Linked DNA regions of Arabidopsis thaliana. The protein of the gene in region 4 interacts with the protein of the main gene of each other region in a pairwise test. Each region holds a gene or a part of one and is shown on either strand. Other genes may lie near its edges.

What was found.
Region 1: the proteins of AT3G61790 (region 4) and CKS interact in a two-hybrid assay, tested with the Arabidopsis thaliana proteins (one large-scale study listed by BioGRID).
Region 2: the proteins of AT3G61790 (region 4) and AT3G26050 interact in a two-hybrid assay, tested with the Arabidopsis thaliana proteins (one large-scale study listed by BioGRID).
Region 3: the proteins of AT3G61790 (region 4) and AT5G63370 interact in a two-hybrid assay, tested with the Arabidopsis thaliana proteins (one large-scale study listed by BioGRID).

The regions. Positions count from the first base shown.
Region 1 is NC_003070.9:19,743,529-19,751,704, forward strand, and holds CKS (Nucleotide-diphospho-sugar transferases superfamily protein), read right to left. Parts: upstream 4,277-8,176; coding exon 4,263-4,276; intron 3,760-4,262; exon of another isoform or gene 3,661-3,759; coding exon 3,387-3,660; intron 3,131-3,386; coding exon 3,085-3,130; intron 2,929-3,084; coding exon 2,842-2,928; intron 2,749-2,841; coding exon 2,624-2,748; intron 2,507-2,623; coding exon 2,367-2,506; intron 2,245-2,366; coding exon 2,193-2,244; intron 2,116-2,192; coding exon 2,005-2,115; intron 1,895-2,004; coding exon 1,802-1,894; 3' UTR 1,464-1,801; downstream 1-1,463. Other genes in the region: AT1G53010 (RING/U-box superfamily protein), read left to right, coding at 4,319-4,855. UniProt on the Arabidopsis thaliana protein: Catalyzes the production of the sugar nucleotide CMP-3-deoxy-D-manno-octulosonate (CMP-KDO). CTP is the preferred nucleotide donor, but it can partially be replaced with UTP.
Region 2 is NC_003074.8:9,518,289-9,526,115, reverse strand, and holds AT3G26050 (TPX2 (targeting protein for Xklp2) protein family), read right to left. Parts: upstream 4,380-7,827; 5' UTR 4,210-4,379; coding exon 4,138-4,209; intron 3,993-4,137; coding exon 3,579-3,992; intron 3,507-3,578; coding exon 2,988-3,506; intron 2,910-2,987; coding exon 2,848-2,909; intron 2,748-2,847; coding exon 2,676-2,747; intron 2,526-2,675; coding exon 2,423-2,525; intron 2,315-2,422; coding exon 2,186-2,314; intron 2,106-2,185; coding exon 1,875-2,105; 3' UTR 1,533-1,874; downstream 1-1,532. Other genes in the region: PRXQ (Thioredoxin superfamily protein), read right to left, coding at 1-211, 305-394, 487-627, 1,106-1,309; AT3G26040 (HXXXD-type acyl-transferase family protein), read right to left, coding at 5,047-6,375; ATB' DELTA (serine/threonine protein phosphatase 2A 55 kDa regulatory subunit B prime delta), read right to left, coding at 6,856-7,161, 7,248-7,827.
Region 3 is NC_003076.8:25,382,375-25,390,931, forward strand, and holds AT5G63370 (Protein kinase superfamily protein), read right to left. Parts: upstream 4,888-8,557; 5' UTR 4,419-4,887; coding exon 2,580-4,418; 3' UTR 2,114-2,579; coding exon of another isoform or gene 1,929-2,113; 3' UTR 1,796-1,928; coding exon of another isoform or gene 1,666-1,795; 3' UTR 1,436-1,665; downstream 1-1,435. Other genes in the region: AT5G63375 (uncharacterized protein), read left to right, coding at 1,666-1,795, 1,929-2,113; AT5G63380 (AMP-dependent synthetase and ligase family protein), read right to left, coding at 5,207-5,332, 5,439-5,541, 5,615-5,682, 5,756-5,901, 6,268-6,457, 6,597-7,652; AT5G63390 (O-fucosyltransferase family protein), read right to left, coding at 8,138-8,380, 8,448-8,557. UniProt on the Arabidopsis thaliana protein: Cyclin-dependent kinase involved in pre-mRNA splicing. Required for the correct splicing of the sixth intron of CALS5 pre-mRNA. May stabilize the binding of U1 snRNP to this rare type of intron with a GC 5'SS.
Region 4 is NC_003074.8:22,870,195-22,877,415, forward strand, and holds AT3G61790 (Protein with RING/U-box and TRAF-like domain), read right to left. Parts: upstream 3,640-7,221; 5' UTR 3,350-3,639; coding exon 3,122-3,349; intron 2,839-3,121; coding exon 2,452-2,838; intron 2,146-2,451; coding exon 1,780-2,145; 3' UTR 1,503-1,779; downstream 1-1,502. Other genes in the region: emb1703 (embryo defective 1703), read right to left, coding at 1-1,268; AT3G61800 (ENTH/VHS protein), read right to left, coding at 4,529-6,337, 6,467-6,652; AT3G61810 (Glycosyl hydrolase family 17 protein), read left to right, coding at 6,974-7,073, 7,165-7,218. UniProt on the Arabidopsis thaliana protein: E3 ubiquitin-protein ligase that mediates ubiquitination and subsequent proteasomal degradation of target proteins.

The DNA.
Region 1 (8,176 bases), on a different chromosome or scaffold from region 4:
ATGGCTTACCTAAACAATCACCATTATTTCTATTTTTATTATTATTATCAATCACCATTATTTTGATAAATGTACACGTGTATTTCAAGACATTATTCAATCTTCCTTTCAAATAAGTTAGAGATATAGACTAGTCCTTGGTTCGGTTCTAGAATCGAACCATTCGGTTCCAATTATTTTGGTTCTGAGATTTAGGAACTATATTGGAACCAAACAAAGATCGGTTCGGTTCCGGTTCGGATCCTACTCGATTCGGTTTGGTTCGGATATTAACCAATAGAACCGAGAAGGAATCAATTTATTTTGGGTATTTTTGAAACCGAAACAAAACAATAAAAGATAATGCAAAACTCATAAGCAATTATCCAAGTATGCAATAAAACATCACATATTAGTCATCATACGATTACAAATCCAATAAGAGGCTTGTCTTTGCCTCTTAGGTTTGCAATGAATCGAGGAGTTTTTATCTTCGTCTTTGAGAAAGAGAGAACTAGGGTTTCTCAAATATTAGGTTACGGATGAGAGTGAAAGAGAGAGCAGAGGTTAGTAAGAGAAATAGATGGTGAGCTTATGGATTGGATCAAGGGTTGTTATGTTTAGTTAAGTAGATTAATATGAGTTATAAAAGAAATATGAGTTAATGGGCTATCATTATAAAAAATATATTGACTAATGGGCTTTAATTTTTAGGTACCCGAATAGGTATTGGTTCCTACCCGAACCAAACCTATACCCATGGATCATTGAATCAAGATCTGATCACTCTTTTCAATAGAACCCGAACCGAACCATATCCATTAATTTCGGGTTGGTTCGGTTCGGTTCCATTCGGTTCCATATTTGTGCCCAGAACTAATATAGACTATAGAGTCACCACATCATAGCCATTATTATTCTTAGCTGTTTTTGTCTTTTTCTCTATCTTCCCCAACTCTTGGTCATGACACTTAACACGTGTTTCACTAAACATCTTTCTTTTCACAAAAACAAACAAACTAAACACGTCTCTCTTCTCTTTTTTCTTTAATCTTCCCCAAATGATTAGTTTCACTACATTACCACTGTAGGCTATTCTGAACAACCACGTGTACATATATATATATATATATATATATAAATATATTTCTCAATCACTCTGAGCCATTTTTAACATAATTAATTATATCATATGTTAATAAGAAGTAGGTTGCAAAAGAAAAAACTAATAAAAAGTAAAACCAAATGTTTTTATATTTTTAATGTGTCAAAAATCCTAGCCGATATATATACAGTATTTATAACGAAAGAGTGATTAGGAACTAGATTATACTGTTAAATGAGTTTAATTTGTTTTAAGTGACATATTCTAATTGGTTAGAAAAAGATGGGGTGAATAAAAGGATTCACCTTTAAACTCAAAAAGTTTATGTTTCCTTGCTTTGGAACTGATTGAAGGATATATTCTACAAATGCAATGCACAAACTCGACCGTTTCCTGTTTCTCAATCGTTTTGAGGATCTCAACAGTCAACACTAACGTAATCAGGAGCGTAATCATCGATTTCAAAAGTTTACAAACATCAATATCAGAGAGTAACAAAGGAGATCGATACTAAAAAGGAATTAAGGGGAAAATAAAAAGATCGATACTATCAAAAAGTAACACGATACTTTCTTTAGGTAAATGATAGTAAACCTTCGATGTCGTATCAGTAAACCTTCGATGTCTCACACACAATGCCACAACTCTTTCAAGGCGTTTATCACGTACTCCTAATGAAAGGGAAAAAAAGAAAAGAAAGGAAAATGATTTTGTGGACTAGGACATGTTTCTTTCGCGCATTAAAGATTCAATCTTTTCGACATCATCGGGTGTGTCAACTCCATGAGCTTCATGATCTACCTTTATAACCTGTACACAACCAAACATTTAGACCTTAGTGCCTACTCTCTATATTCTCTACGAAAAGACTCATTTCTTTTGGTAGGATGATATACTGACAGGCGATACTTTTACATTACCTTCATTTTGTAGCCATTCTCAAGAACTTTGAGCTGTTCTAGATCCTCTTCTTGCTGCAATGGCGTTGGTTGAAGCTCTGAATATACCTTCAGAAACTTCGAATCAAAGCTCTGAGGATAAAAACATAACCGAGATTAGATCATGACAACAAAAAAAGAAAAGCAAACAGAAATTGGTTGCTCAGTACCTGAATTCCAAGATGAAGCATGTACGGAAAATCTGGATTGACTTTACCACTCCTAAACCGCAAAAGCATATCAATAATGAACATTACAAACAGATCAATATGAACGTATGAGGATGAATAAGATATTCATATAACCAATACACACAAGAAAAAGAAAAAGAAAAGAGAAATTACTTGTTATAAGGAATCAAACCCCTTGAGAAATAGATAGCATAGCCACGATTGTCCACCACACATTTAACTCGGTTAGGATCAAGCCCGTCTTCTGGTTTCAATGATGTCACCGCTGTGCTAAACACTGCATCCGGTGTTACCTAGAAACCACAACCATAGGAACACTATTCAACAGCATTCGAAAGACTTCTAAGTAGTAGGATCATAATCCACGATGAAACATATAAGACATCATCTCACTGAGCAGTTTACGAGACCTGAAGTGCTTTGACTACACCGTCTATAATCTCAGGCTCAATAAGTGGTTCATCTCCTTGAATGTTAACAACGACATCATACTTCTTCTCCAGCTTTTCTAGCGCTTCGTTGCACCTCTCAGTGCCTAAACATCACCCAAATGATACAGAGCTTAAGCCAGAGGCTCTATATCCCACCAAATAAAAAACCAAAATTATGAAGAAAACAGTAAAGAAACCATTTCTGCAAGACTCTGAAGTCATGATAACATCGGCACCAAATCCACGACAACACTCCGCGATTCTTTCATCATCAGTGGCTACAACTGATAAATTAATAACACACAGAAATCAGACATCTTGTAATCTGAATAATCACAAGTTGAAAGAAAGAATCAAAACCAAAGGCAAAGTTCATAGAAGAGATCTTAGATGCATAAAGTAGAGATTTTTCATATATAAAGATTATGAGACAACATTACCAATATGATCAAGCGTAGTAGCTAACTTCGACCTCTCCCAAGTTCTCTGCTCAAGAACGAACCAACAAAAATGAGAAACACAAAATATATAGTTACAAAAGATTCAAACTTTATCTAACACCAGATTGAGAGTTAACGAAAGTAGAAAACTTTTTAACAAAAATAAACTTGAATGTGTGATCTGAAAACTTAAAGGCAGTGCACAAAAATTCGACTAAAATTTGCCAAACTAAGCCAGATCCGACACAGCGATATTACAGAGAATAAACAGAGATACTGAAAAGAGACAACTATGGAGGAACCTGGATCATGGGTTTGCCGAGGATTTGCACGAGAGGCTTACCCTCGAATCGAGAGGAAGCGTAACGTGCGGGAATGATTCCGACGACCCGGCTCCGGAATTTCTTGGATCGACCCAGATAAGCACGTGCGCCGATTGCGGCTGCAATCGCTGTTCCGGCCAAGATCCCGTTAACAATCCATGTTTTCTGAGAAGAAGAAGACGAAGAACACACCGACATCACTTTGCTCCGGTGAGTGAGTGAGAGAGTGAGACAGAGAAAAAGACAGATTGTTCTGTTGAAAAGCGGTGGCCGAGCCAGCGAGAACAGAACCGGTTTGGACCGGTTTAATTAGACTTTATGACCAATTTAATTCCTTACAAAGGTCAATTTGCTGAATAACTTAATTATGGAATCTAATTGGATTAATAACACTTTTTGCGTAAATAATATTTTGTCAAAAATAAAGTGAAAATATTTTCAGACACAAAGGAAAAGAATAACAACATATATGTATCAGTGTTAAAAAACAACAACATATATGTATCCTTTTATTATTTTGGTCATATGTATCACCATTAAGAAAATATTACCTTTTAAATATAAAATGAAAAATTTTCAAATCACCAAAGAAATTTTGACCAAATCCACAACATAATTTATATTTTTTTAAAAAACATGTAGGACTTTTGTGTGCAAATAACAGATCAAATGGAATGGAACTCTTTCTAACGATTTAGGATAATTTTGAGAGAAAAAAATCAGAAAACTTTAGATATGAATTTGAAACCAAACCCTAAACTTAGAATACACACAAATCCTTCCTCACTGCCTTATCCTAAACAACAAGCTATCATGACTAAAAATATATAGCTGTTTAAATCTTTAGGTTGTCACCTGAAAATCACCATTTTGGACAAAACCCTTGGAACTTGTTTCTTGTAAGAATCAACATGAGCTCAGAAGAAGATGATGCGATTAGTCTCATCAGCGTTCTTGGTCTCGCTGTTTTCATCGGTCTCTGCATCTTGCTCGTTGTTCTCATTGCAACCTCAGCTCTCATTCTTGTAATCTACGTCATCATCGATTGCATTCTGCGACCATTCTTAGGAACATGTCTCGACCTAGATCTCGAAATCGGAGTACAAAGAGGCCAACAACGTGCTAGAATCGTTACCTACCACACAATCATCTCGACCGGTCTACGGTTACCAGATTTCGAGAGAGAAGGAAAAAAGCGCGGGCTGAAACAAAGCGTGATCGAAACCCTACTACCGAAGTTGCTTGTTGGACAAGGCAACCATGAGGAGGATGAAGAAAAGTCACTAGAATCAAGAGAATGCGCGATTTGTCTCAGTGGTTATGTCGTTAATGAAGAATGCAGAGTATTTCCTGTTTGCAGACATATCTATCATGCGCTTTGTATCGACGCTTGGCTTAAGAATCATCTCACATGTCCTACTTGTCGTAAAGATCTACCAGAATCATGACAAGTCCCTAGCTTTGTTGCGTAAGCTGTACATAGATATTTTGTCTCTTCTTCAAGAGATATCTATTTAATTGAAACCAATTTGCCAATGAAACCTATCATTGATTCACCTTATAATTTGGTTTGCATATGGGAGGTTTCGTCAGAAACAGAACACTAATGTCCTATTTTCTCATAAATTGCAGAGGAATAGTAATGTCATTAAATCTATGATTTTTGCCATATCTTTCCCCGCTAACCCGGTTTGGAGAAAAGTTTTCGAGAAAACCAGCAATTCATTCGAAACCAAACCTAAGTAAAACAGATGTCATTACAAAATTTCAGAAGTAGGAAAGAGTGCAAGGAACCAGAAAGAAATGTTTTGATCGATTTCCTATCAATTGTTTTGTAGAAAAGCTATCTTCTACCAATTCCCTATAAATTATTTCTCACGATTTTTCTATAAAATTAATTAAATTGGTTTTAATATAAATATTAATTGCAAAAATTAAATTCAAAATTATGAATAGTAATTAATTAATTATTTATTAACATGAATAATCTATATCTCTTACTAATAAAAGTAGTTGTTTTAGGTCTCTCAAGCAAAATGAAAATTATGTAAGAGGATGCCACACCTACACCTAGCCAGGTCACCTAAAACATAGAGAAAGAAATCGTCTCTTCGCATATGAAAACGTTCGGCCACAAACTTTCCCTGAATCCATCATCTCCCACGATGCCTCAAACTCTTTGATTTCAAACTTATCTCAACTCATATGACTTCCGTTTTAACCCATATCAGGTTACTTTTGGATTAAATTTAAATTTCAGTACATGTTGTTTGAAGCTCCTCTCATCTAATATTATGAGAGAAGCTCCTCTTATATGATCTGAAGTTCACTCGATTCTTTTATAAGAAATTCAAACATTATAAATATTTAAACTTTATACTACTGATAAAATCATATATTGACGATCTTTGGATCAATAATAATACAGAATAATATATTACGGGTAAAATTCTAAAATTAAGAATCAAAAATATAATTATACAATCTTAAATACTAAACAAAACATACAATATTAACAAAACTTATACAACAGATGCATCTCGCAAACAATATTAACAAAACATATACAACAGATGCATCTCGATTCTTTTATAAGAAGTTTAAATATTATAAATATTTAAACTTTATACAACAGATGAAATATTAGAATTGACGGGTTTGAGTGAATATTAATACGGGATGGTATACTACGGGTGAAATCCTAAAATTAACAATTAAAATACAATTACACAATTTTAAACATTAAACAATTTAAACAATATTAGCAAAACAAATACAACTTAAAATTTTAAATATTTAGTTATAAAATATCGTCTTGCGGTGTACCATAAATTTGATATCATATATCCATAGATCATCCTAAAAAAATATTCAAAATTTATATTTAAATAATATTTGACAGTTTGGCTGGTTTGGCAGCTTTGGCTCACCTCGATAATCTGCTTCTCCTAAGGTTTGTTTTATTGCTCTGGGTCTCTTTGTTAGCATTGCTCTCAGATGGTTTTGGTTTTCGTTTTGGTTTCGCTCTAAATTAACGAATTCATCAACCAATGTCTTCATAAAGCTAGCTACATCGGTCCTAAACTTCTTGGAGCCGCTCTGGCTAGTTTGTTCACGTTCTTGGACTCAGTCTCTGCCTTTAACCATTGATCCAACAAGAGCTCCATTTTTATAAGCATTGCACGCTTTCACTATGTGGTGAGACCGGACGAGGAAATGGCTACGAACAAACTCTTTGAAATGCTGTTCATTCATCACAACAACAGTCGTTAATTAAAGTGCTGCATTTTCATCACTATTTTAAACCAAATTTTGACTAATTATTTTACCTTTGGTTGTTATCTCATGCTGTAAACCATAGTCTTTAACGACAATAAGAATATGTCCTCATTGTAAAAAAAACTCTATAAATACCTTTATATATTCTTTCAATATTATTCATACAATTCACATTGGTATATCAAAACTTCATGCATCGATGAAAAACCTAATTCGTTTTTCTCTTTTCCTCGCTTCGGGCTACCTTGAGCCTCGGCAACTTCGTTTCTTTTCATCGGTGACGAGGATCATACACTATCATTCTATCAACTCAGGTAACGATTGATGGTGTCTCCCCACACAGTAAATCCACTTCTTGCTTCATGGACACGACAGTATCGTATGTTGTGTACTTTTTGCAAAAGAAATATTTCCAGTTTGGTTGTGACTTAGAGTTTCTTGGTGACTTGGTAAAAACCAGGTTATGGCATTAGGCTCGACAGAATTGGATACACATGATTTAGACAGCCACTCGTGTAGTCGTGTACTGATGGAACAAATGACTCCAACCGACTTGAGATTAATTGTGTCAAAAATCGGTTAAACCATCCATTAAAGCTATGGAAATGATAGCATCGTCCAAAGGTCGTGGACGTGGAAACCATGGACTTGGGAACCGAGGTGGACATTGCTAACTCTAATTTAGTACCAAAGAATCTCTAGCTTTGTAAATCAGAAAAGAATAATGTGAACCCACCAATTATCAAAACCATTTGTCCTTTGAAAACCGAATGTCAATTATAAAACCACTTTTCTAAACCGGAAAAACTATTGTCATTCATATATCAAAAATAGTAAAAAGAAAAAGGCTAAAATTTTGTCTTCGATCTACTACTCCATGTTAGGTCCTTAGTCACCACCAAGTCTTCTTTCTCGTATCTTCAACTTGATACTACTGAAAACGCAGCGTCCAATATTTGCTAGAAATTCTTTGATGCTATACCAAAATGCCAAAAAAACAACAATTATCATAAAATGATAAAATCCTAAGTTAAAACTCGATAAAATAATCAATCACCATTCCTAATTAAACACTACAAATGATAATAAGAAAATACATAAGAGACTGAGAAAGTCATAAATTTCATAAAATTTTTTAAACATTTGGTGGATTTGGCTCACCTCGATGATCTGCTTCTCTTACGGGTTTTTTTCTTGCTCTGATTCTCTGTGTTAGCATTGTTCACAGGCGGTTTTGGTTTTTCTGCAAGCTCCTTGACTCCTAGTTTAACGAATTCATCAACCACTGTCTGCATAAAGCTAGCTACATCGGTCTTAAACTTCTTGGAGCCGCTCTGTCTAGCTTGTTCAAGGTCTTGGACTCCTCCTTTAACCATCGATCCAAGCGGAGCGCCAGCTTTATAAGCATTGCATGCTTTCACGATGTCGTGAGACCGGACAAAGTAATGGTTTTGAACATACTCTTCAAAATGCTGCACATTTCATCACAA
Region 2 (7,827 bases), about 13 Mb from region 4:
CTTTGAGAAACTTCAAGGTCTCGTCGATGTGTTTCTCAGGCTGGAACTGGTTGTTGTAGATGAGCTGAACAACACCGTTTTTGTCAAGAACGTAAGTCTGTCTCCCTGGCAATGCTCCAAACAGGTCTCCAGGCACTCCCCAATCTTTTCTCACCTTATTCCCTTCGTCGCTTAACAATGTATACGGTAGTTTGTATTTGCTTGCAAACGCCTGCAACAATGTTTAAAGTCCCACCACTCTCTTTAAAATCCGGAAAAAAGAAATGGGTTTATTCAAGAAACCAGAGATTTTTGATGTGTGTACCTTGTGAGAAGCAGAGTCATCTCCACTAATGCCAATGACCTCTGCACCAGCTTTCTTGAATTTCTCATAAGAGTCTCTGAAAGCACAAGCCTGTTGTACACAAGTAAAACCATTTACGTTTAGAAACACTAAATATGCGATCAATGAATGCGGGAAGGAGGAGAAAGTAAAGATTTAACAACCTGCTTGGTGCAGCCAGGGGTTTCATCTGCAGGGTAGAAGTAGAGAACAACAGGCTTCCCTTTATACTTTTTGAGGCTCACCGGCTTTCCGTTTTGATCCTTTAGTGTGAAGTCTGGTGCAGCCTGACCCTTGTTAACCTGCTGCCCACCAAACATCACAAAGAGACCAATTCACAGAAGGTTAAAGAGAGTTCATATGCCGTGTCAGCTTAAATCATATGAATAAAGGATTGAACATATTCAAGAACATTCTAGCATTTGCTTATTTTCAGGTATGTGAAAGTTTATGGTCTCTAAAACAAACACTGATTACAAGTTTCTTTGATTTTGTCTTTGATTCTGCACTAACACATTCATAAATCTGTTCTTATAACATTTAAATTCAGACTTAAAACCCAATATTTACATCTTTTGTTTCTTATTCAAAAATGGCTGTGTATCTAACAATCTATTGTCTTGCTAATATTTATATCGTAATACTCAAAAACATATAAAAAAGAAATGGAACAGAACTTAGATTGTCCAAAAAACATTGGTCTAACAAAGAAGCTAATTCCCAGAACTAGTTGTTACCCAACTGTAGCAAACAATCTATCAATGCAAGAGTCGAGAAATGTACCTTGGCAAAGATTAAGCCTTTGAGAGAAGAGGAAGAGACTGGGGAGATATACGATGAGTGAGTGAGTGTGGAGCCAAAGAAGTTAGATTCTGATGATTTTGTGGGAACTGAAAATTGGGTTTTGGTGACAAGGGTCTTTCTCAGAGGGAGAGTACGAAGTGTGGTGTGATTACAGAGAGTGAAAGAGGAAGATGAAGCAGCCATTTTTTTTCTTTTCCTCTACAAGGACGTGATTAGAGCATGTAGTAGAAGAAAAGCTGAAGATATGGAAACATCACACAATCACAGTCCACAGAGATAAGATTTTTTCTCTCACCTCTGAAACGAGAGGCCCACACCACAACAACACAACATCACAACATCATACCAAAACGTCGTCGTTTAAAACAAATGTAAAACAGAAAGCTTTGCCATGTTCCTGTCTATACTAATTCAAGAAAGAAACACAATGAGAAATTGAAAAGTAGACATAATTCTTTATTTCAAATCTCTATGTATACAAATGATACAAGATTGATACTACAGAACTATTGAGTACATAGTTACTTTGAAGAGTAAGTAGACTTGAGTTCTATCTATTCTACACAGCTCCTTAAAAGCTTGTGGTTACACAATCTGAATCAAGGGCTAGTCACCTAAACCATAAGCTTGAGATGAGATTACTAGCTGAAGGGACAAAACTTTCGGAATCTTCAAAGTGAAAAGTCGAATCTTTACGATGATCTAGAGACTTGAAGAAGAGGAATCGATTGATCTGGTTTGTCTCTGGTTAGTTCTGAAGAATATTAGGAGACATATTTTCTTGAGTTCTTTTTGTTGTCTGCTGTTTGGAGGAGGGATGGATCTTGCTGCTTTTGTGCTTCTCCATGACTACTTTTTTGGTGTTGATGATCTTCATTGAGGAAGCTTTATGAGGAGTTTGATGAGGTTTTTTTATGTTCTCTTTTCCTGGAGTTTGGTTCCTGCGGAATCTTGGTGAAGTCAGGGTCATCGGTGTTACCTGCACATGATTATAATGTCATACATCAAAGATTCAATACCCAAATTTATGACAAGTTACAGTCTGAGAGTTGAATATACCTGAAAACCACCAACTTGTGGGTTCTTGTGTTCTTCAGATGCTAAGTTAGTGTTTTGATTTGCCTTGAAGCCGCAAGAAAATTTATCCTCTTTCTCTTTCTTGTTTTTTTCCTCTACTTTCTTGAAGAACTAACAGACAAGACACATCCACAACAAAAGAGATCTTTTTTAAACTACGGCTCTATAAGTCCTCAAATAATCTCAAAGATAAAGTAAAAGGATCTTCTTTAGTTCTACCTCTTTCCTCTTCTCTGCCCTTTCATCACTTCTGAAGACGAAGGGAGAAGATACAGTCAAAGACTTTGCTTTGGTTCTGCTATGAGTTGACAGATTTTCACAGCTGCAAAATGCATTAGACAAAAACATCTCGTCTTATGTCCACATAAATCAGGGAACTAACACAAACACTTTCAATTAACCAACTCAGGCCATTTGCAGTAAGTGACATAAGATAGTATTTCTCTAAGAGGTTGGTACTTAAACCGCTTACCCGACAGAAGGTTTTCTTTGCTCATTGTTGGATATTCTACATGAAACTGAACTCCTTACAGATATGTTTTTCCTGTATATCAGAAGAAGCAAAGTTAATTATAGGGTTGAGTTAATAATAAAGTAATAGTATAAAGCGATGAATTGGTGTTGAAGATGGTTTGATCAGTAACCTTTTGTTTTCTGATAGCAGATTACTGAGAAGAGGAAGTCTGGGTAACGTGACAGCAGAGGCCTGCAATATATGTAAGAGTCAGTCTCAGCAAATATGCTTGGGATATACGCAAGAAGAGAAACTTGGGAAGAGAATTACATTGGTTGAACCGTCTTTGGATGTCTGAGACAATGGTCTCTTGCAGCTTTTTAAAGCTCCCGTTGGTTCGTTTATCTTTGGGAAAAGTTTGTTTCTAGCATTTGTTGAAGTTGTTCCCTGTGTAGTGGAGTTTCTTGCCAGTGTTTTTGGGGCTTCTTTGGTCGTACGAAGAGTAGAAGAAGCAAAATTGAGTGACATGTGAACTGAACTTGGACCTGATCTCTTCTTCTTGTCTGCTTTCACTGCACTCCTAGAACCGTTCTGGGGCCTCCCCACAATAGTTTTCTCGGTATTACTAGAAGAAACACAGCTGATTGACATGTGAATGGGCTCAGGAGGTGATCTACTTCGGTTCTTCGATGCACTAAGTGACCTTGTACTACTCGAGGATGACTCTTTTTTAGTGTTCTTAAGTGAATGATCCAGTTCTATAACAACGGAAGATTCCAGTTTTGAGCTTGAGACCTTCGATCCGGAAGAACTAGGAGGTCTTTCTTTGCTCAAAGAAGTAGAATTGCCCTGAAAACACCATGGACGTTTAGAGAGAAAAAATAAAAACAGGAAATTGCAATGTAACAGAAATGCATTTACCTCATCAGGAACAACCACTGACTTCAAGTTCTCCACTTTACCAGTTTCATCTATTACAGAAATTGATGGAACAACAGAGTCCACCTCATTACTAGACACCTCTCTATTCACCGCTAGTGGTACTTCTGAATCAACGAGAATATCCTTAGGTATATCACAAACAATCTCAACACTATCTTTAACCTTTACTTGTTCAATCTTCTTCGTCTGTGTTGCTGCTTTCCCTGAAGCTCGGTTCTTGAAATGAGCTTCAAAGAAAGCTTTCTTCTCTGCTACAGAACCAGGTTTAGTAAACCTCTCAACCTCTTCCAAGTAACGATTCTGAGTAAAAGCTGACCATCTCGCCCACGCTAGTGTTTCATTCGCATATCTACCAAACGATACTGATTCCGTAAGCACTCGATTCGGTACCACCTGCCAAAAACCAAAAACCAAATCTCAAATTCTCTTCAGATTCATCAAACAACACACTATACACAGAAATTTCACTAGCAAAATCAATCTCTATTATCAAAACCCTAAATCCAAGATTGTAGATTTAGAAATCTTAAGCACTAACCTCGTTGATTTCACGCGATGAAAACTCTGAAGGTTGCGAGAAAGATCTCACAAGACAAATTGATTCTCCCATTTTTTTTGTTTTCTCTGGAGATCGAAAAACCCTAATTTTATCCCCAAATCTGGTGGTTTCGCTGAGAAACTGAAAACTGAAAAATCTTTGTTAGCTTCTTTTTCTTTGGCTGCAAATCTGAAAGTAGGTCCGAACTCTAAGCATATGATTTAAATTTCCCCAACGGCCACTTCCCTTATTTTTATTACGTCATTTATAGAAAACGTTTCATCTAATTGTGGAATCATTTAATTATTATATATATACTACTGTTTACAGAAATAAAATAATGTATTTACATTTTCTAATCTTCCTTGTTTTGTTTTGAACTATGTTTAGTGTTTTTTTATTATCTAATTGTATATAATTATTACGTATATTTTATAGAATGTTTATTTTATTATTATTTTGAACTATATTTTATTATTACGTATAAGCTATCAATTATCATTATGGTTATTCTTGTTGTCCTCTTTTAAAAATATTAGTTAATAATAATAAACACTAATATTAAACTTTTAGTATTAAGTTATGAGAGTGTGCTCCAAGTTAAATTTTATTTTTAGTGCTTAATTAATATTAATAGAGAGTAATGAAACTGTCTTTATGAAAAAAAAAAATATGACAAAAATTCTTTTTGTTTTTAAATTTAACATGAGATTACTTACAAAAATAACTTCTGAATTTATTAGTATATAATAAAAAGGTGATTCTTCAGGACTATTTATTTATTACATCACCAAATTTTGCCCGTTATTTTAATTTCAACCTTTTTAGTGGCCTCCCAACGGCTAGTCAAAATAGAACCAGTTTTTCAACAAATATATCCGGTTTAGCTCACTAAACCGGTTTTTATAATCAGAGAACATGAAGAAAAGGTTGGATCACACTAGGATTCAGAGAAGCGAATTGGAGCAATTCTCTATCTTGTTCAAAAAGATTCATCTCTTGTTCATTCAGATTCACCCAAGCTTCAATTCCACCAGCTTCTTTCGTGTCGAGAAGCGTCACGATGTTCTTCTGTCTAACCGAAGGAAACCCGACCCAAACCGGTTTTCCCCAACCGAAATCGGTTTCGTATAAACCGAATCGACAAGCACTTGAGAATATGTAGAAATCGAAATCTCCACTTGCAATCATATCTCCTGCTTCTTTCTGGTAGCTACAAATGATCTCTGTGGCATTTGGGTTTCCTACAAGCTTTGGTATATGGATATCTCGAAACCTCTGTTTCGCTTTTCGTATTTTCGAAACCAAAGTTTGAAGCTTTGTTTGGTTTATTCCTTCCTCTGCTTTTGCTGCAAAGTAGCTCACTAGATTCCCTATTGAGTTCTTTGTAAATGGTGGAGAGACTCGTGAGCGTAGACTCACGGAGTTTGCCAGAATTGACGGTTTCGATGTTCCTGAAACTGTTCTTGTAGCTTTCATTGCAGATTTCCATATAAGAGCTGAAACAGCTTCGACTCTTGTTGGTTGATTCACTTCAAAGCTTGAAGCTTTCGCTTGCAGAGCTTGAATACTCGAAGAATCGAATATGAATCTCTTCGAAAGAGTCTGATTCATCATGATCTCTGGCTCAACCACTGGTGCAGGGGAAGTCTCAGAGAAGTTTCCAGGTGGGAAGATCTTAACCGTGTCGAAAACCGGAGCTCCAATGGTTTTGATCGACCCTCGGGACGAGATTGCAGCCCAGCTCTTCATGAATAAACCGATAGAAGTTGCGTCAGCGAGTTTATGAGAGATACAAACTCCTATAGACATGCTTCCACATTCAAAGAAACTCGCTTGAGCAAGAAGCAGTCTGGTTCGTGTCTCTATGGAATCAACAGATGTAGGAATCAGTTGTTGCAAGCTGTCAGAAGAAGGCTCTAGTAGGAGATTCGAAAGCGGTGAATTGACTCGTGCTTCGAGGAAATCAGCGCCTGAGTCATTACAATCGATACTTATGTTGCCTTTGAGCCGTCCAGCGAGAGGGTAGAAATGAGTTAAAGTTTCGGATAACGACTTCTTCAGCATCTGCAATTGCTCAGTTGGTTTGATGCTGTTGTTAGCTGAATAGAAGAAAACCATAGGACCAAAGATCGTTGGACCGAGCTGTTCTAAAAGAGAGAGTTTAAACTTCTTTAAGTGGTTTGGAGTTGGAGATGATGGTTTGATGATATCTCTGGAGACAACATCAACTCTCATCTGGTGAAACCTCCTGACGAAAAACCGACTAAGAGTCATCGCAGAGAGCTTTTCTTCGGTTTCTTGGTTAGAAGAATAAACCTGTTGTAACAGAACCTTTTAACAGACAAAATCCAAAGATACTTGCAGGAAAATGCCAACAGATCCTCTGTATACTAAAGGACGAAATCATTATTCCAGAAACAATTTTTATATTAGAGCAATCTCTTTCACTGATAAACTAAGTGACTTCAGACAATAGAAAATTCGTGTTTTCATAACAAGATGTTTACATGAACCAAGTATACAGACAAATCAAGAACTGAAAAAGGTAAAATCTCACACTGTTTAACTGAATTAAACTAGTCTTAAAGTCGAAACCAGATACTTAAATGAAGCAAGCAAAGCAAAGTAAATGTATATACCTTTCAGGCGTAAAGGAAACAAAACAAAACAATAAACCGATTTCTTGTTGAATCACGTAAAGTGCAGAAAAAACTCTTACTTCGCCATTGAAGCAACAATCTCCTCTAGCTGTCTCCAGGTTTCTCCATTCTTCTTTTTAGTATCTTCTGCTTTTTGCTGATCTTCTTGGAACTTGTGCAAACATTCTTCGAATAAATCAGGATTTGTATCGGACAAAACCTTGAGAACATTCTCTGTCAAGTTCTTCACAGCCTGATTCCAATGGCTGCTACCGTTTTTCTCCAAAGCGGGAAACACTATAGGTAAAATGATTCTACTGTTCTGTCTCACTAAATTAGTGACATGATCGTTGTTCCATAAGTATAAAGCCCGTTCCGCTACCTAAAAACACAGAAGCAGTTGAATTTTATGAACAATTCAAGAATCTAAGAATCAGGTAAATGTACCTAATAAACTCTTAACTGTACCTGAAAGTGAGAACTGCTCAAGCACTGAGCAATTTGGCGAGAGAGCGGAACCATACACCGTTCAAACTCTGTTAATTGAGTTGCTTCTAGTATCTCCTCCAATTCATTCAAGAACATGATTTCTTTAGCGCTATTAGTAACAGGCCAGTACTTCAACATCCCTCTAATAACGGTATCCGCGAGCTTACAATCTTTCTCAACAAACTGTATAACGCAGTAAGAAAGCTGTTGATGGTAATTTGGTAAGCATTTCAGCTTGTGCAGAGGAATCAAGACACGAGTAAGAAAGAGCTTGTGTTCTTCCTTGAGTGGTAAAGCGAATCCATTGATGATGGATCCTAAAACTTCAAGAAACTCGGCGATTCCCGAGTGTTTCCCTGTCTCGAATATAAAATCATACAAGATGTTGTTCATAGTTTTCCTGATGAACGGGCGATGAACCATAAACCTCCCGTAGATGCGGTGAAGTATCGTTTTCAGATACTCTCTTTCCCTCGGATCTTCAGAATCAAACAAATCCAATAGCTTGAGAACGAATGTATGATCGATGTATTTCTTGGATATCTTGGGGTCTGTGTTG
Region 3 (8,557 bases), on a different chromosome or scaffold from region 4:
CTTAATAATTAGTCCATATATATTTATACATTCATGAATGTGGACGAAACTGATGACTGATGTTGAGACTTGAGAGTTAGGTTTGATTCTTTAACATTCGATATCTCATCTTCCATTTTTCGTTATTACATATTTTGTTGCAAGGAAAACACGATATACCGTATAGAGTTGATGTAGCTAAAGTTTTAATTCAACAATGTAATCTTGATCATTAAAGTATAGATGATTTTAGTGGTTCTACTTGACGTCCCTACAGATAGTAAATGCAATTATCAAAAACATGTCATAGTTACTAAAAGAAGAAGGATGCACAAATACAATCTTTTTGGGTTGGATCAGATCAAATTATATTTGGCTTAAAGACATTGATTACTACGTATATATTAAACAAATGAATAAAATTGACTACCTTTGCTCTCACCCTCACCTGCTGATTCTATACCTAATTAATTATATAATACGATAGCCAACAGTTTCAACATAAAACCACCATCGAAACATACTACTGATATAATATGCATATGGGACAAATGAAAAATGAAAAATATAACGGATGAATAACGAAAAATGAAAAATATCATTAATGATATAATATGCATATGGGACAAAGCAATCTTATCCGTTACGGACTATATAACATATCATTTCTTAATCATATATTATATACGTATATATATAATCGTATATCATCAGTAATATATTTGTTGTAAGAAAAACACATACTGTATATACATGACCAAAAACATTTCGCTTTATGCATTGATGTAAAAAAATTAAAACTATACATAAACACATCAAAAATTACAGACACTTAACAGATGTACCATGTTTTTTTAAGAATCAATAGTTACAAAATTTGAGAAAAAGGTGATATTTTGTCATTTCGTTGGATATGAAGGAACCAATGATAAAACATCGTTAGTTACTAATTCAAACAACAAAAAAAAGAACCCCGAATTTAAATGCTCACCATCGACAAACCTTGGCTATTTATTTTATAAATATAAGACAAGTACTAAATCCTATCAACACTAAACAATAAAATCGAACATGTTCACCCAATTATAATCTGACAGCTGAAGAAGATAAGGAAATACTAAATATAGAGAGGTTCGATGACAGAGAGAAAAAGGTAGACTGAATCACCATCAAAACCACGCCCAAGAACCCTAATTGGGGAAAGTGGCCAAATGAATTCTCGCCACGTGTGGATCTGATGGTGTCAGAGTCGGTAAAGTTTAAAAAAGGTAATGTGTGATGTCTCGATAAGGGCTTTTAAACTGGTCGTTTTGTCTGGGACACTTGTACAGTTTTGGAAAGGAGGACCCATGACTAGGGCATTCTTTAGTTAATTTTAAACTTGATAAATCAGTATTTCGTTTCTATATATTTGTTTATGAAATTCTGTATCATTAGAGAAATCAGATGATGTGGCAATCATTATCTGTTCTCTTTAATCGACCAAAGGTTCGAACAAAATATCATTGTTGGTTATCTGATATAGAGAAAACTAATTTAGAAACCTCGTTTTGAAAAATTCCAACTACAATATGAGATTTGATTCTACAGGAGTTTGGAATATGGGAAAGGGAATTTACAAAAGTGATTGTTGAAACATTACCGATTGTTAAATGGTAATAGACAGCTGAAGCTGCACAATGACATATGGTAAGGAGCTGGGAGCAAAAGACTAAGGACCGAAACGATGCAGATCATCTCGCAAAAGAAGCTTTTCCTCATATTGATCACTGTTGTGTGTTGTGTAATATCCTTTCTGTTTATGGCCTCGTCAAAGGTAATGCTGATTCTAGTTTATTCGTTATTGAAATGAACTTGATTTAGCTTAGCTGTTTACAGAAGTTAAAAAGAAAGGAGGACAAAGGGTTATAGTGTTGAAGACAAACTTATTTTAGCTTCTTTCTATATAGCTTTTTATCCCAAATCCCTTAATTCTCGGATTAACATGAAAAAAACCACTGCCATACCTCCTATGTCCACAGAAACTCATCATGAATCATCTTTTTCTCACTGCCAACAGACCAAATACGAGCACCTCAAAGACAAAGGGACGTCGAACAACAAACCAACATTGATAACAGAGCGTGGTAAATAAGTAATCAAAATAAACTTACTGATGTCAACTTCCATTCTCACGTTTGTGATAAACTCTTTGCGTTTACCTCGTGAATAAAAACAATGCACAGAAGAAATATGAGGACATAAACAATAACCATCCCAACCCAATTACTAGAGAGAGAAAGTGAATACTGAGATCTCTTCCATTAAAGCATGTGAGTCAATAGTGTGTACAACTCTTGATAGCAATAACATTAGGGTCCTAACGAAAAGAGAGAAACACACCTTTCAGTTTTACGGACCACTCATATTTACACATGAATCCGAATAAATGGTACACTAGAATGCCCTGAATCTCCAGGCAACAAAGCAACGCAACTGAGTTAAGAATAGATGAAAGCAAGTCTTTTGAGTAAAAAGGAAAATACCAAAATACGACCAGTCGACTTCCCTGTGTATTTGTTGACATCCTCTCGTCCAAATGATAGCACGTTTTTTCTCAGTTACCGCTTTGGAGGATATGTCGGCATGAAATCTTTGGATTTTGGTAACGGGACTTCATGGAACCAACCATGGTTGAGAGCATCTTCCACTGTTAGACGTTTCTCAGGGTCCAAAGTTAGTAGACTGTTCAGCAAATCAAATCCACGTTCAGAAAGAATTTGACCACCTACAAATGAAATAGCTGGAAACTTCTTACGTAACATATTGTAAGGCTGTGTAGGAAACTTGGCTTTAGCATTCGGAAATGATGAGAACCCAGGCCATATTGCTTCGTTTGGTGTTCCAAGGACCGCAAAGATCTTCTGAAGTTGGTCAAGCTCACTCTTACCCGGGAACAAAGGCTTTTGAGACAACAGTTCAGCCATAATGCAACCCACTGACCACATATCAACTGCTGTAGAGTACTCTTTTGCTCCTAGAAGAAGTTCAGGTGGCCTGTACCACTGGGTAATAACCATCTGGGTGTAAGGCTTGATAGGGCTCCCATACTGGCGCGCCATCCCAAAATCACATATTTTTAACTCCCCACAATTGTTCATCAGAAGATTAGATGGCTTCAGATCCCTGTGGATAATCCAATTTGTGTGGAGGTATTTCAAACCATCCAACAGCTGCATCATCAAGCACTTGACTTCGCTAGTGCTAAAAGGTTCCTTCCTTCTATCCATTACTCCCCTCAGGTCGTGTTCTAAGTGTTCCATGACCATATAAACATCATTATCGTTTTTCCCTCCAACCACAACCTCCTTCACGTTCACAATCGCAGGGTGATTGCATGACAAAAGTATGTTAATTTCCCTCAATGATGTCAAAGGGAATCCATACTCTTCTTCGAACCTATCTTCCTTCATCTTGATCTTTTTGAGCGCAACAATCTCTTTTGTTTTCTCATCCCTTGCTTTGTAAACAATTCCATATGTTCCTTCATTTATCTTGTTTAGCTTCTGAAATTCATTCACAGACCTGCTCCCAAACATCATGTTCATCTCTCCCGGAGTTAAAGAATCTTGATCTTCATGTTCTAACTCATCATGATCAGAACTATAATACTCACGACCAGAATTTCCATCTGCACTAAGCTTCTCTACGCTGAGATGTCCACTGCCAGATCCAGACGAATAGCACTGCTGTTCTTCAGACACCATTACTTCCTCGCACTCCGGTGTCAAACTGCTCCTGTTCCATCTATTAGTCTTGGAAACGTTAACAGATATTAACTCCTCCTTTGGGGAAGTCAAACCTGTCCCCCACCTAGATGTCTTTATATTTGGTTCCTGCATCACTTGTTCTTCCTCCAACAGACCCTCCTTTACATCCTCCTGCATCACCTGTTCTTCCTCCAACTGACCCTCCTCCAAATCATCAACAGGATGTTTCACAGCCAGCAGGGCTTCTGAAGGCTGCACTGGAGCAAGATAACTAGGTTCTGGCGACATCAAGGCATTCACTTGATCGTTTGAAGTAGTCTTACCAGCAACAGCCTGATTGGATATCACAGTTGTAGTCGGAACAGGGAAAGGAGACTTGGTCTTCTCCCTAGATGGAGCTCTACCCACTTTTTCTGCATTCCACACGATGGGTGAAAACTTCCTCCTTTTCTCAGAGGGTCTCTGAACCTCTGCTTCCTCCCGTAGTTCCCCTTTCTCATATGCCAACCGTGATCGGTGACGCCCATCATTCCTCCTGAGATCATGGTCACTAGGCCTTTTGATTTGACGCCTCTCGTCATCTCTACCACTCTGTCGAACATACACATCACGAGAACCATTCCTGTAAAAGTCGTAGTCTTTTTTGACAGCAACGGAACTTCTGGAAACATCAACACCCCCTGCTGCCATCGTATTCTTCTCAATGAGAAATTGATCTTATAGAAATAAAAAAGGATAAAACAAACAAACCCCTCGAAAAAAACCAATCAACGAAACCCAGAATCAAATCACGAGAAGCAGATTTCAATAGATGTTCAATTACTTTTCAACAATTGAACTAGAAAGACGATCAATCAACCAATTAAGAAAAACACCCTTGACGAAATCAGAATCAGAATAATTCAGAAAAAAACGAAACCCTAGAAATTCAATTTCCAGGAACGCGATAATTTTTCTCCTTCCTCTTCTCCGATTCACAAGTACCGGAAGGTCTTACCGGACGGTGAATACGAAAACGGAAGATTGGATGGAGGAGGAGATCGATCTACGAGCCCGATGCGATCGCGAGAAGCTTTTCTCTAAATTTTCCTCTCGGAGACGCGTTTTTCAATTTTGTCAAGTGGCTCTATTATTACTTTACCCTTTGTTTTATAATCGTAATAGGTCGGCTGCTCCAATAATTCCCTTTTCTATTTCACAGATTTATCTAATGTTTGCGGGTGTACCAAAAGAACGTGAGCTACGTATTACAGCCGTTGGATCTAATTAATGAACACGAAACTAGTCGTTTATTGTTTGGACGGTGACGGTGACGAATGACGATGCTATAAATAATAATACTCACGTTGTTAATCGAACGGTCAATATTACATTAAATCTTGTGTAGTAAGAATGTAAGCTACATTTCGTCTGAACCGGTAATTAGATCCCATTTTCACTGAAAACCGACACAATAATATATGAACCAGCCGGTTATCTCAAAGTTTTGATGCATTGCCATCCACAGCGATTTTAGTAAGCTCCCGACGCAGAATCTTGCCAGCAGGATTTTTTGGGATTGCATTTATAAAAGCAACTCGTCTTACCTTCTTGTACGGAGTAACCTACACACAAATAGTTACATAAGCAAACCAAAACATCAAATCTAATTGTTCTGTCTACTTGTACTAAAAATTAATATAACCAACATTCTAGAGCAATGAGCATTACTTGTTTAGCTACGAAATCAATGATTTGCGCTTCGTTGAGATTGCTTCCTGGTTTTCTCACTATGAAAGCCATTGGAATCTCTCCTGCATCCTCGTCAGGGAACCTTGAATTCATGATCCATGTCAGTATCAGAAACACATTTCAAGAAGTTACAAATTTGAGTTTAAAAGACTCACGGAACAACTGCAGCATCAATCACATCTGGATTCGAGTGAAGAATCTGCTCCAACTCTACCGGTGGAACCTATAAGATGACGCTTTTGATTAATATTAAACTCTAAAGACTATATCTTCTTCTTCTGACTCGTAAAATTTACCTGATAAGCCTTGTATTTGATTAGCTCCTTTAGCCGATCAACAATATATAGAAAATCTTCCGAATCAAAATAACAGAGATCACCAGTCTTTAACCACCCTTCTTTGTCTACTGTCTCCGCACTCGCTTTCTCGTTTCCCACATAACCTGTGCCCATTAATCACAGGTTTATAGTCACATCAATGATCAAAATCTTGATGAAGACATTAGACTTCAAGGATCATGAAATCCGACTGAGTCCTAGATTTCTTCTTATATGCTAAGTCATTTAGTGAAAGCTCTTGAATGTTCCTCAAACTATTGCATTTGTTACACAGTCCTAGATTCTTCTATGCAAAGTCACAAGTCTCGATTTAATTTGACACAGTCCTAGATTCTTATATGCAAAGTCACATTAATGGTCAAAGTCTTGATATAATTTGACAGTCCTAGATTCTTATATGCAAAGTCATTTAGTTTACACCAGCTCAGCACATTGCATGTTCCTCAACTATTGCATATGTTTTATGATACCTTTCATGATGACTGGTCCTCGGAGCCAGAGTTCACCAGTTTTTCCCGGTGGCAAGGATTCTCCGGTGGATGGATCAACAATTTTGGCTTCCATATTCTCAGAGATACGACCAACTGAGCCATATTTTACCATCTCTTCAGGTCCAAACGTTGAGGCAGCTGGTCCCGAGCTCTCTGTCAAGCCATAGCCCTGTAAGCCATCACCAAACCAGAAAGTTAAAAGTCATATAAATGATTCAAAATCTTGATGAAAACCAAGTATCATGAAACTGGACACAGTCCTATATACAAAGTCATATTTTGACACTAACTGTCTTATCAGTTATTACCTGTACAATATCTACATCTGGGAATTTCTGCTTAAACCTCTCTGCGATGTCTTTGCCGAGTGGAGCTCCTCCGCAGCCAAGGGAACGCAACGACCGGAGATCGTACTTCTTCGTGAGCTCCGATTTGACCAACGCTACAATCAACGGAGGAGATACAGGCATACCAGTAACCTTATATTTCTCCACCGCCTTAAACATCGCCTCGAGTTCAAATCTCCCTAAAAGCACCAATGTCTCTCCAAGCGAGATGGCTCGAATCATCATCATGAAACCAAACACGTGGAAGAGCGGAAGCGAGAACAGTCCAACGCGATCGTAATTAACCGGATCTTGGAGAGTCCGTTGGTGAGATACGGCGGTCGAGGCGATTAGGTTACGGTGAGTGAGCAAAACGCCTTTGACCCGCCCGGTTGTTCCAGAGGAAAAGAGGATAGCGGCAGGGTCCGATTGGTTGACCTGAACCTGAAATGGATTAACCGATGAAGAATCCGATCGATTTAACCAGGAGAGAAACTCAGTCGAGTCCATCAGAACAGTTCCGAGAGGCAAAGAAGAGGATTGAAGCTTCTTAACCGTCTGCGATGTCGCGAACGCAATTACTGGTTCACTGACTTCGACTTGATGACTCACCTCCGATTCAGATCCGATTGGGTTCGCCGGTGAAACAACAACACCGATCGACATCAAAGCTAAGTAAAGCACTGGTATGTCCAACGAAGAAGGAGAGAGGATAAAAGCGACATTTCTGGAGGCAAGAGAAGGAAATCGCTCCCGGAGAGATACAGCAAGAGAACGAACTCTACGAAGAAGCTCTCCATAAGTGAGGTTATCACCAGAGCTCGAGTTAACTAGGTAGGTTAAGGCTTCAATGTTTTTCCCGGCGGTGGCAGGTGGTGAGGATTTGAGTAGGAGAGAAAGCGCGAATTCGGCGGCGGAGAGAGGTTGATCTATAGGAGGTAGAGAAAGAGAGGGACGAAGACTGTGATAGATTCCTGTCCGTTGATCGAAGCCGGAGCTCCGGTCAATCAAACGGCTGTCGTTGGTTTTCGTCAGCATTCTGGAAGACGATTAGAGATACAGTAATCTTTTCGTCGGCGGTGAACATGCGCGCCTGCGAGAAGATATGAACTCACATAAATTAATGCATACGTGGCAATCCCTAAACCAATCAATGTTTTTTTTTTTTTTTTAACGGCAAATCGATTTTATTATATTGTTTTTTGTTTACAAAACTACTAAACAAAATAACTAAAAAGGCTGTCAAGTATCAACGTTCTTTCGTCAAAGATCTGTGGGCCATAAATCTTTTTACACGTGTCTCATTCTTATTAGTTAGAGCTCAGTGATTTGTACGAATGATGAAATTTTGTACGCAAAACATGGAAAGGAATCTGTACATTTACAGTAGATTTATATGTACACGTGTCTAACGCCGATTGGTTGCAGCTGGACTAGTATTGCTTTGAGGAGCAAGGCAACCGAGCTATACCAATAGACCAGCGTTTGTGACAATCGCTGCCTTGAGAAGCAATGAGCCTGACCTAGAAGAAACCTACAGACCTGTGTTTTCTATGTCGACACATACACTCCGGGACAGGATAAGCTATCACGTCACGATCTCTCCGCCCTCTCCGTGACTCAGGATAGCCTTGGGACTTACGGTGAAGCTTCCGAGTTAGAAAACTGAGCTCGGCATCTGAAACAGAAGAATTCTCCATTAAAGGAAGCATCGCTCTCTTATTAGGCATTATAAACTTCCTGTGTCCTACATAAGCTCTATTTCCCTGAGAGAAAAACAGAGTTTAAGAAAGAAACTTTGGAAAATCTCAAAAGACTATTCTTCTGTGTTACCTGCATAGCTTTTGCCATGTTTCCACCATGGGAAGGAATAAAAACATCGCTGCTAAGTGATACAATGTAGTCAATAGCTGCTAAAGCTGAAGATCTATTGGTGTAAGGCA
Region 4 (7,221 bases):
CCAGAAAGTTCAGTGTTCTCACTGTCAGTCGAAGTTCCCAAGCGTTCATCTTTATCATCATCACCTTCACTGTGTGTCAAAGCCTCATGTGGAAGACTCTTCTGTGACTGAATGCTTATATCTTCCTCATTGTCGCCTGTTTCTTTGTTCACATCGAGCTTCTGCTTTTCATTAAGTTCTATGCCAGCTTCTATCTCCCGTGCTCGTCTAGCCATTGCTTTGATTTCATGGATCTTATCAACAAAGTCCAGCTCAACATGAGGAGAATTCACGAGTTCCAGTTTCTTCTCTGAACCCTTAACTTTAGAAATACTAGTCATAAGTTCATTTCGATCAAACTTAGGCTTCTCAAATGACATCAATGGCTTTTCCAAACCCTCCTTGTGCAAAACTTCCACGGTACCTTTCTCCGACATATCCCTTTCCTGCCAAGCTTTCATCTTTCTCCTCATCATCTCCTTCTCCAACTCTGTACACTCAACCTCATTACTCTTCCTATACACAAGCACCGTCTTCAGCAACCAGAGTCCAATGTAACCACACAAAACAGCTCTTCCAATCGCCGGCAACTTTGGAATTAAGTCAAGACGAAGAATTGCGTTTTGGACTGAGCTAACGAGACGAAACTCTTCCTCTGAAGAAGAAGAAGAAGAAACGAACTTGACAAGAGAACTCTCCTTATGGATCACATGTTCCCCATTCTCCATTTGTTCAGCTAATTTCTTCGCATATACAAGCTTAGAACTCACTGATTCCAAATCCCCAAGAGCTGATCTTCTTCTACTCAAGACCTCGTCTTCATCAACCTCTACTTTCTCTACGTTTCCAACAGAATCCTGATAGACAGTGAAAATGGGATTCGAACCAATACCCCAAAACTCTGCTTCCTTGTTATACCGAGCAACCCAATCTTCAAGCTCATTCAGCAAATTTGAATCTTGAGCAACCCTATCTTTCAATCCCTCGGTGCTACTTAAATCATCACAGTGACCAAACTTATGGCTTTCGTTTAGAGGTTTCGTACCTGGTTCAGAAGATTTCGGAGTCGAACGCCAATACTCATCACCGATGATCTTCTTCCTCAGCGAATTACGTCGCCTCGAGGTCTCTCCGAACCGAGCCGAGACTCGGAGAATTGAAACGCGATAGTAGTGGAATTTGGAGATGGGCAAGTTGAATCGACGTTGGTTAGCGAGTCTCCTGTTCGAATTGGACGAGAAAGACGAGAAATTGAAGAAACCATCATTGGAGTTTAGTAGAACCTCCATTGATGGAAACCAAAGGGATAAAGCTCACTTCCGAGTGAGAAAACCCCCAAAAGCTGGGTTTAACAGAACAATGATGAAACGTCGTCGTTTCTTAAACAAAGCTAACGCCTTTGAACAACACTACAGTTGAAAAAAGGTTCAACATTTTACATTTTCCAGATATAAAGCTCATCACTTCCAAGTTCCAAAAGCTGGGTTTAACAGAACAATGATGAAACGTCGTCGTTTCGTGGACACAACACAAGCATTACATAAATTTATGAACACTACAGTTGATAAAAGTAAAAGGTTCAACATTTTACGTTTTTCCTCCAGATATAGCAGAATTGTAATGAACTATATATTTTATAATAAAAAAACCTCCATGACATGAGAAAGACAGAGAGAGATACATAAGAACAACCCCAAGTTTATCGTCAGAGAAAACCCTAATTACAGATAACCATGGTTACAGAGACAAGGCCAAATCGGTGAGGTTTTCAAAATCAGTTTGATTTTTTTTTTTTAATTTTCAAGACAAGTTTGGGATACAAGCTCCTCCACCTTCACCACTTTGTTGTTGCTCTTTCCATATCCTTCCAGTGACTCGAAGTTTCAGCTCTTTCCTATCTCCACCTGAGAAGAAGAGAGCCATGTTTCTTTGTATAATTAGTCCATCATGACTGTCTCTAACTTTCCTGTGGCTGTCTCTTACGCTTCTTGGTGTTCCTTCCCATATCAGCTTCCGACCATAACCTCCCACTTCTAAACTGTAATTGTAGTTTCGAGCTTCTGTCTCGTCCCCCATGAAACGCAGGAACGCCATGTAGACTGGAGCCATTCCGAGCTGGAATGCCTCAAAGTGAAGACAGAAGTATTGACCGAAGCAGTGAAAGACCTGATTTTCATTTTTGAACCAGAAACAAAACCAAAACAGAGGAAACCTTGATAAGCATTAAAGTATATCAAGTCAACATGTATAGCGAGATGGAAGATTCACAATTCACAACCATAGATTAGATAAATAACTGGACCTTCTCTAGGAAAGCTAACTCGCAACAAAAGCAAAATTTGACTCAGCTGATCACATTACAGTTTATACCAGACAGATCAAATTTTATCACAAATATAATCCTATTACTTTAAACAAAGCCTCCTAACTTATCTAAGTGTATACTATGAAGCACGATTCATATGTACTTACAGTTAACATCCATGTGGCGTTTTCGACTTCACGAGGATTAGACTTGACATAACGATGGTTGAAAGTACACCCAGAATGCATATCCACCTTATGATCATCCCTCAGATGAGCAACTAAGAAAGGGATATCGCCCGTAACAGAACACTCGGATCCAGCATAAGGGCAGCTATAAGGTCTGAAGTTACATACAGTCTCATGTTTGAGCTTACTGTAATAAGGGAAGATTTCAGGACATCCAAGTGACATGTGTTTACAAGGTAGTTCAAGTGATTCGGCTACTTTTTCCAGTGCCAAACAACGGATATCACCGAGCTCTTGTCTACAAGTTGGGCAGCGGTTGTGAACCCTGGCTTTACAGGTTGAACACAACGTATGTCCATTGTGACACTGTAGGGAAATCAAATAATTGTCTATCTGTTATTCCATAATTCTCTAAAGAAACAATAAGAAGAATCTTAGAAACTATCAAAGCTATTGACAAAATTTAGTGACAATTGTTTCAATTGTAGCCATTAGTGAATGGATAAAACTAAATTTCAAGTTACAAGAGCAACACAACCACTGCTTCAACATCCATGATTCACATCATTAACTCAAAACCCTAAACAAAATCAACAAATTAAAGATCCGGGGAAACGAAATCAGAGAACAAGGGATTGAAAAGAAAGACCTGATGAATGGGAGGGTACATAGAATTGGTGCAGACAGGACATTCGAGAAGCTCATGAACACTGGTGGTGGTAGGGAGAAGCCCAGAAGCAGCAGCATTAACGTTGGTGGTGTTGTTATTAGTATGATGATGCTTGGAAACAGAAGCGTAGGAATGGCGATCTTGGTGGATCTCTTCATCATCTGTCACATCCATGGTTGATGTACAGTCCATGCTATCCAAATCCATTGAAGAAAGGTGGAGACTTTGATTGATCTTCGATCGAAACGAAAGATCAAAATCCGGAATTGAAGAAACACCACCGAAACAGGTCAACCCTCGTGAAGTGTTGTTAATTTTCAAAAACAAAAAAGATAGATGCTCTTCTTCATCAATTCTCTAGAGAGAGAGAGAGAGATAGTTGCCGTCAAATGAACCGGAAACGCTGATTTAAGATCGGACGGTCACAAAGGCGGCTGTGTTAAAGAGAGAATGTTATTTGGAAACAAATTGAATTATAAGAGATTCAGAAGAATTTACTGGATAGGGGAAAAATAATCATATTCTAATAATATACGTACAGTATATCCTCTCTCACTCAATGATTTCTTTGTTTTTAATTAAAGGGCCATGATCCAGTAGAGATGGGCCTAAATATGTACATGGTGCACATGATTGCTTCTTTTTTTTTATTCTAGATGTTTTTCTCTCTAGTGGGATTCTGTCTATCATTATTGTGTGTTCTTTTTTTACTTTTAATTCAAACAATTTCTTTTCCTTTGTACAAGAAAAATGATTTTCAACTTCTAAAATGACAGCTAAATTCAAAGATTCATGAAAAACATGCTCATCTTTCTGTTTACTTTAACAAAAACTTTAAGAGATGTATTTAGGTAAAATTAGACGGTTTAAGAATATGAAATTCATAAGAGGAATAATAAGTAATGGGATGTGGCTTGGGTTCAAAGTCACTTCAAAGACCAATGATAATGTAAATGAACATTTTACTCTTCTTCATCTCAAGCAAACTCTCACAATCTTAAAAGCAAATTATTCAATTAATAATTGCTTCTCATCAGTGATCGGTCTCATGAGTGATATCATCCTTAAACACACCACATAAAAGAAAAAGAAAAAAGCGAACAACAACGATCCATCCAGCTTCAATGATCTGTCGTTGCTTTTTAACAGAACATGTCAATTGTACTATTATCTTTCTGTTGGGTTTTGTGACTTTTGTCTGAGAAAAATATAAAGCTTCAAAGAATCTGGGACTTGACTTAAGAACTGTTTTCACAGCTACAAGAGATCACAAGCGGATCTGATTATTCATTCATCAAATATTCTTTAGCTTTTTACTCCTATTTGCATCAAACAATCAAATTTAAGGCACTACTGGATCAAAACTAGAAAGATTTTAGTTATTTGTTACCACTGGTTAGCCGATGTATCCCGGCACTTTTCATCATTGCCCTGAGCCAACTGCTGTGGATTAGTACCTTTTACTCGATTACTAAACAGTCTCTGGGATATTCTATCTTTAGCCGTTGTTTTCTTACGCCTTGTGGAAAAGGTTTGCTTCTTGTTTTTCTTTTCAGCAAAAACTCTATCAAACTCATCATCCATAGCATTCGATCTAGAAGTTGAGGCTATTGCCGCACCACGCAGAACTTCATGATTGTGTTCCTTAACCTTAACCTTAACAAGCTTTGCTCTTTTCCTCACCACTTCTTTGTCTTTCTCCCGGATATTCTTCAGAGCCTCTTTCGCTATTTGCCTAGCTAACTGATTAGGATCAGAATCTGAAGTTGTTTCATCCATAGACACATCCTGGTTGGTCCCTGAAGTTGAAGAAGTTTGGTTTTCACTCTCATCTAATGGAGATTCCTGGATTATGGTGTTTCCTTCATCATCCCGGGGTACAATGGGTCCGTGAAACGGACAGACTCTGAGATCTCTTCTCTGGCAAAGACCACCTTTCTTTAGAGAAGCACGGCATGGAGGTGTCTCTGTTCTCTCTTCTCTATACACGGTTGCCTGAAGATTCAATTCTGCTATTTTATCTGCTGGAATTATAGCATCTTGATCCACCCTGCCCCAGTGGCTCTCGATCTCTAAACCCCGGTAATTAGCTCGAACTTCCGTAGTTGATTCCCAATTAGTCAACTGTGATCCCCAATTCATCACAGGCGCTTCAGAAATTAGCTTGTCTCTAAGAGAGTTTCCACTGCTTCCAACTTTTTTAGTGTTCGACACTTTATTGGACCTAGCTTCTGATGTAGACTTCTTTGCTTCACCTGATGATGGTAAAGATGAATTCTCACTCTGCTGAGTTCTCATCACATGAGCCACGTTCTTGACTGAATCAGTTTTAACCTTGCCATCATCCTCCTCCCAGATATCTTCTTCTTCCTCGTTTGTTTCTTCATTACCGTGAATATCAGTCATTCTTGACATTGTAAAACCAGCTTCTTCCCATTTCTTTTTAGCTGCCAATATGTTATTCCTGATATCAATCAAGTCCTTCAACATGGAATCTCTCGTTCTGTTATCACTTACGTCAACCCTAATGAGAAGAGAGATCCCTTCTTGAACCGAGATCAGATGCTTTGTCACTAGAAGCTTGCACTGTTCCCTCAACACATCAAATACAATTCTGTTTTCACCAGTTTCTTCAACCTTTTCTGATTGTTTCAGTGAATCAAGACGAATTTGCCTCAGATGAGAACAACGGATCTCCTCAAAATCTTCCTCATCTAAGATCGCAAGTGGAACACCATCATCCCCTCTCCACTGAACAATTTCCATACACTCCTTGATTTCCTTTATCGTTACCTCAATCTCATACTTGAAGAGTCCAAAACTAACTCTCAAGGAATCAAACTTGTTCCGCAAAATCTCTTTTGTCTTCATCTCCCTCTCCTGTCTCTCTCGTTGAATCCGTGCAGCATTAGCCTGTAAATCAGGGAACTTTAACTTGAGGGTATTCTTAAGGTAATCAAACCCAAGTCTAAGCTCCTTGTAATGAAACCCAAAAGACAAATTCCACTTCTCCAAGAACTCAATAGCCTTTGAACGCAACGTAGTGGCAACAGCAGGTGGTGCAGGAAGAGGCAGATTGCTTCTAAACCCAATACTTAAACTCAAAAGCTGATCAAGATTCTCAATTATCAAAGTTCTAAAGAGCTTTGATCTCATGAATAGCTCGTCGATTATGAAAAGCGTCAGATATCGAACCTGTCAAAGAAAATTATCACCGCGTTATTTGACCAACAAACCTGATCAATCAACATTGACTAGTCCTTAAAAGAGCAAGTTTCAATGAATTGAACGGATCAGAAATTGTTCAAATAATGTGAAAAAAACCTGAGAGTGGTTATGTCTCATGAGCTCCATTAGGGTTTGCGAACTAAGTCGGACCTCCGAATCAGAATAGCGAACAATGGATTTGATCGCCTTGAGAAGCCTCGGGTCAACCTCTTGAGCAGTTGATTTCGTCGCTTTCTCTATCAACCCAATAACTTTCCCTCCGCCGTCATCTCTTCCTTCCATCGCCGGCAATCAGAAATTCAGATTTTCTTCTCCTTTCTAATTTCCGAAGAAGACGATATAAAAAGAAAACCGAAAAAGAAAAAATTAGATTTGTGTTGGTTTAATATTTGTACCCACTATAGTCGGTTTACTTGGTTAAACGAAATGACTTATTTACCCCTCTCTCCCCAATTGGTTCGAAGTAACGTATTTGCCCCTGTTTGTCTAACCTCTATTCACCAACTTAGATGGGTGTTAATGTAATTACGATAAATATCGTTTATATAGTTGATGTGAAGTTTTCCTCTTCCCACCAAAATCACTCAACACAGTCGAGAGAAGATGAAGATGATCCTGATGACGACGATGCAAAACGCTTTCTGGATTCTCTTGGTTTTTTCCATCTCAATGGCTTCTTGCTCCACGATTCCATCGCTTGTAGGTAAATAATCTGGTGATTCTGTTATACTTTTCCCGAGAAAAAATTGATTCTTTTTCTCTCATTTTCCTTCACTTTCTCGTTCGTTTTCCAGGTCCACAAATCGGAATCAACTACGGAGAATACAGCTCCAATCTTGAAGATAGTAGTA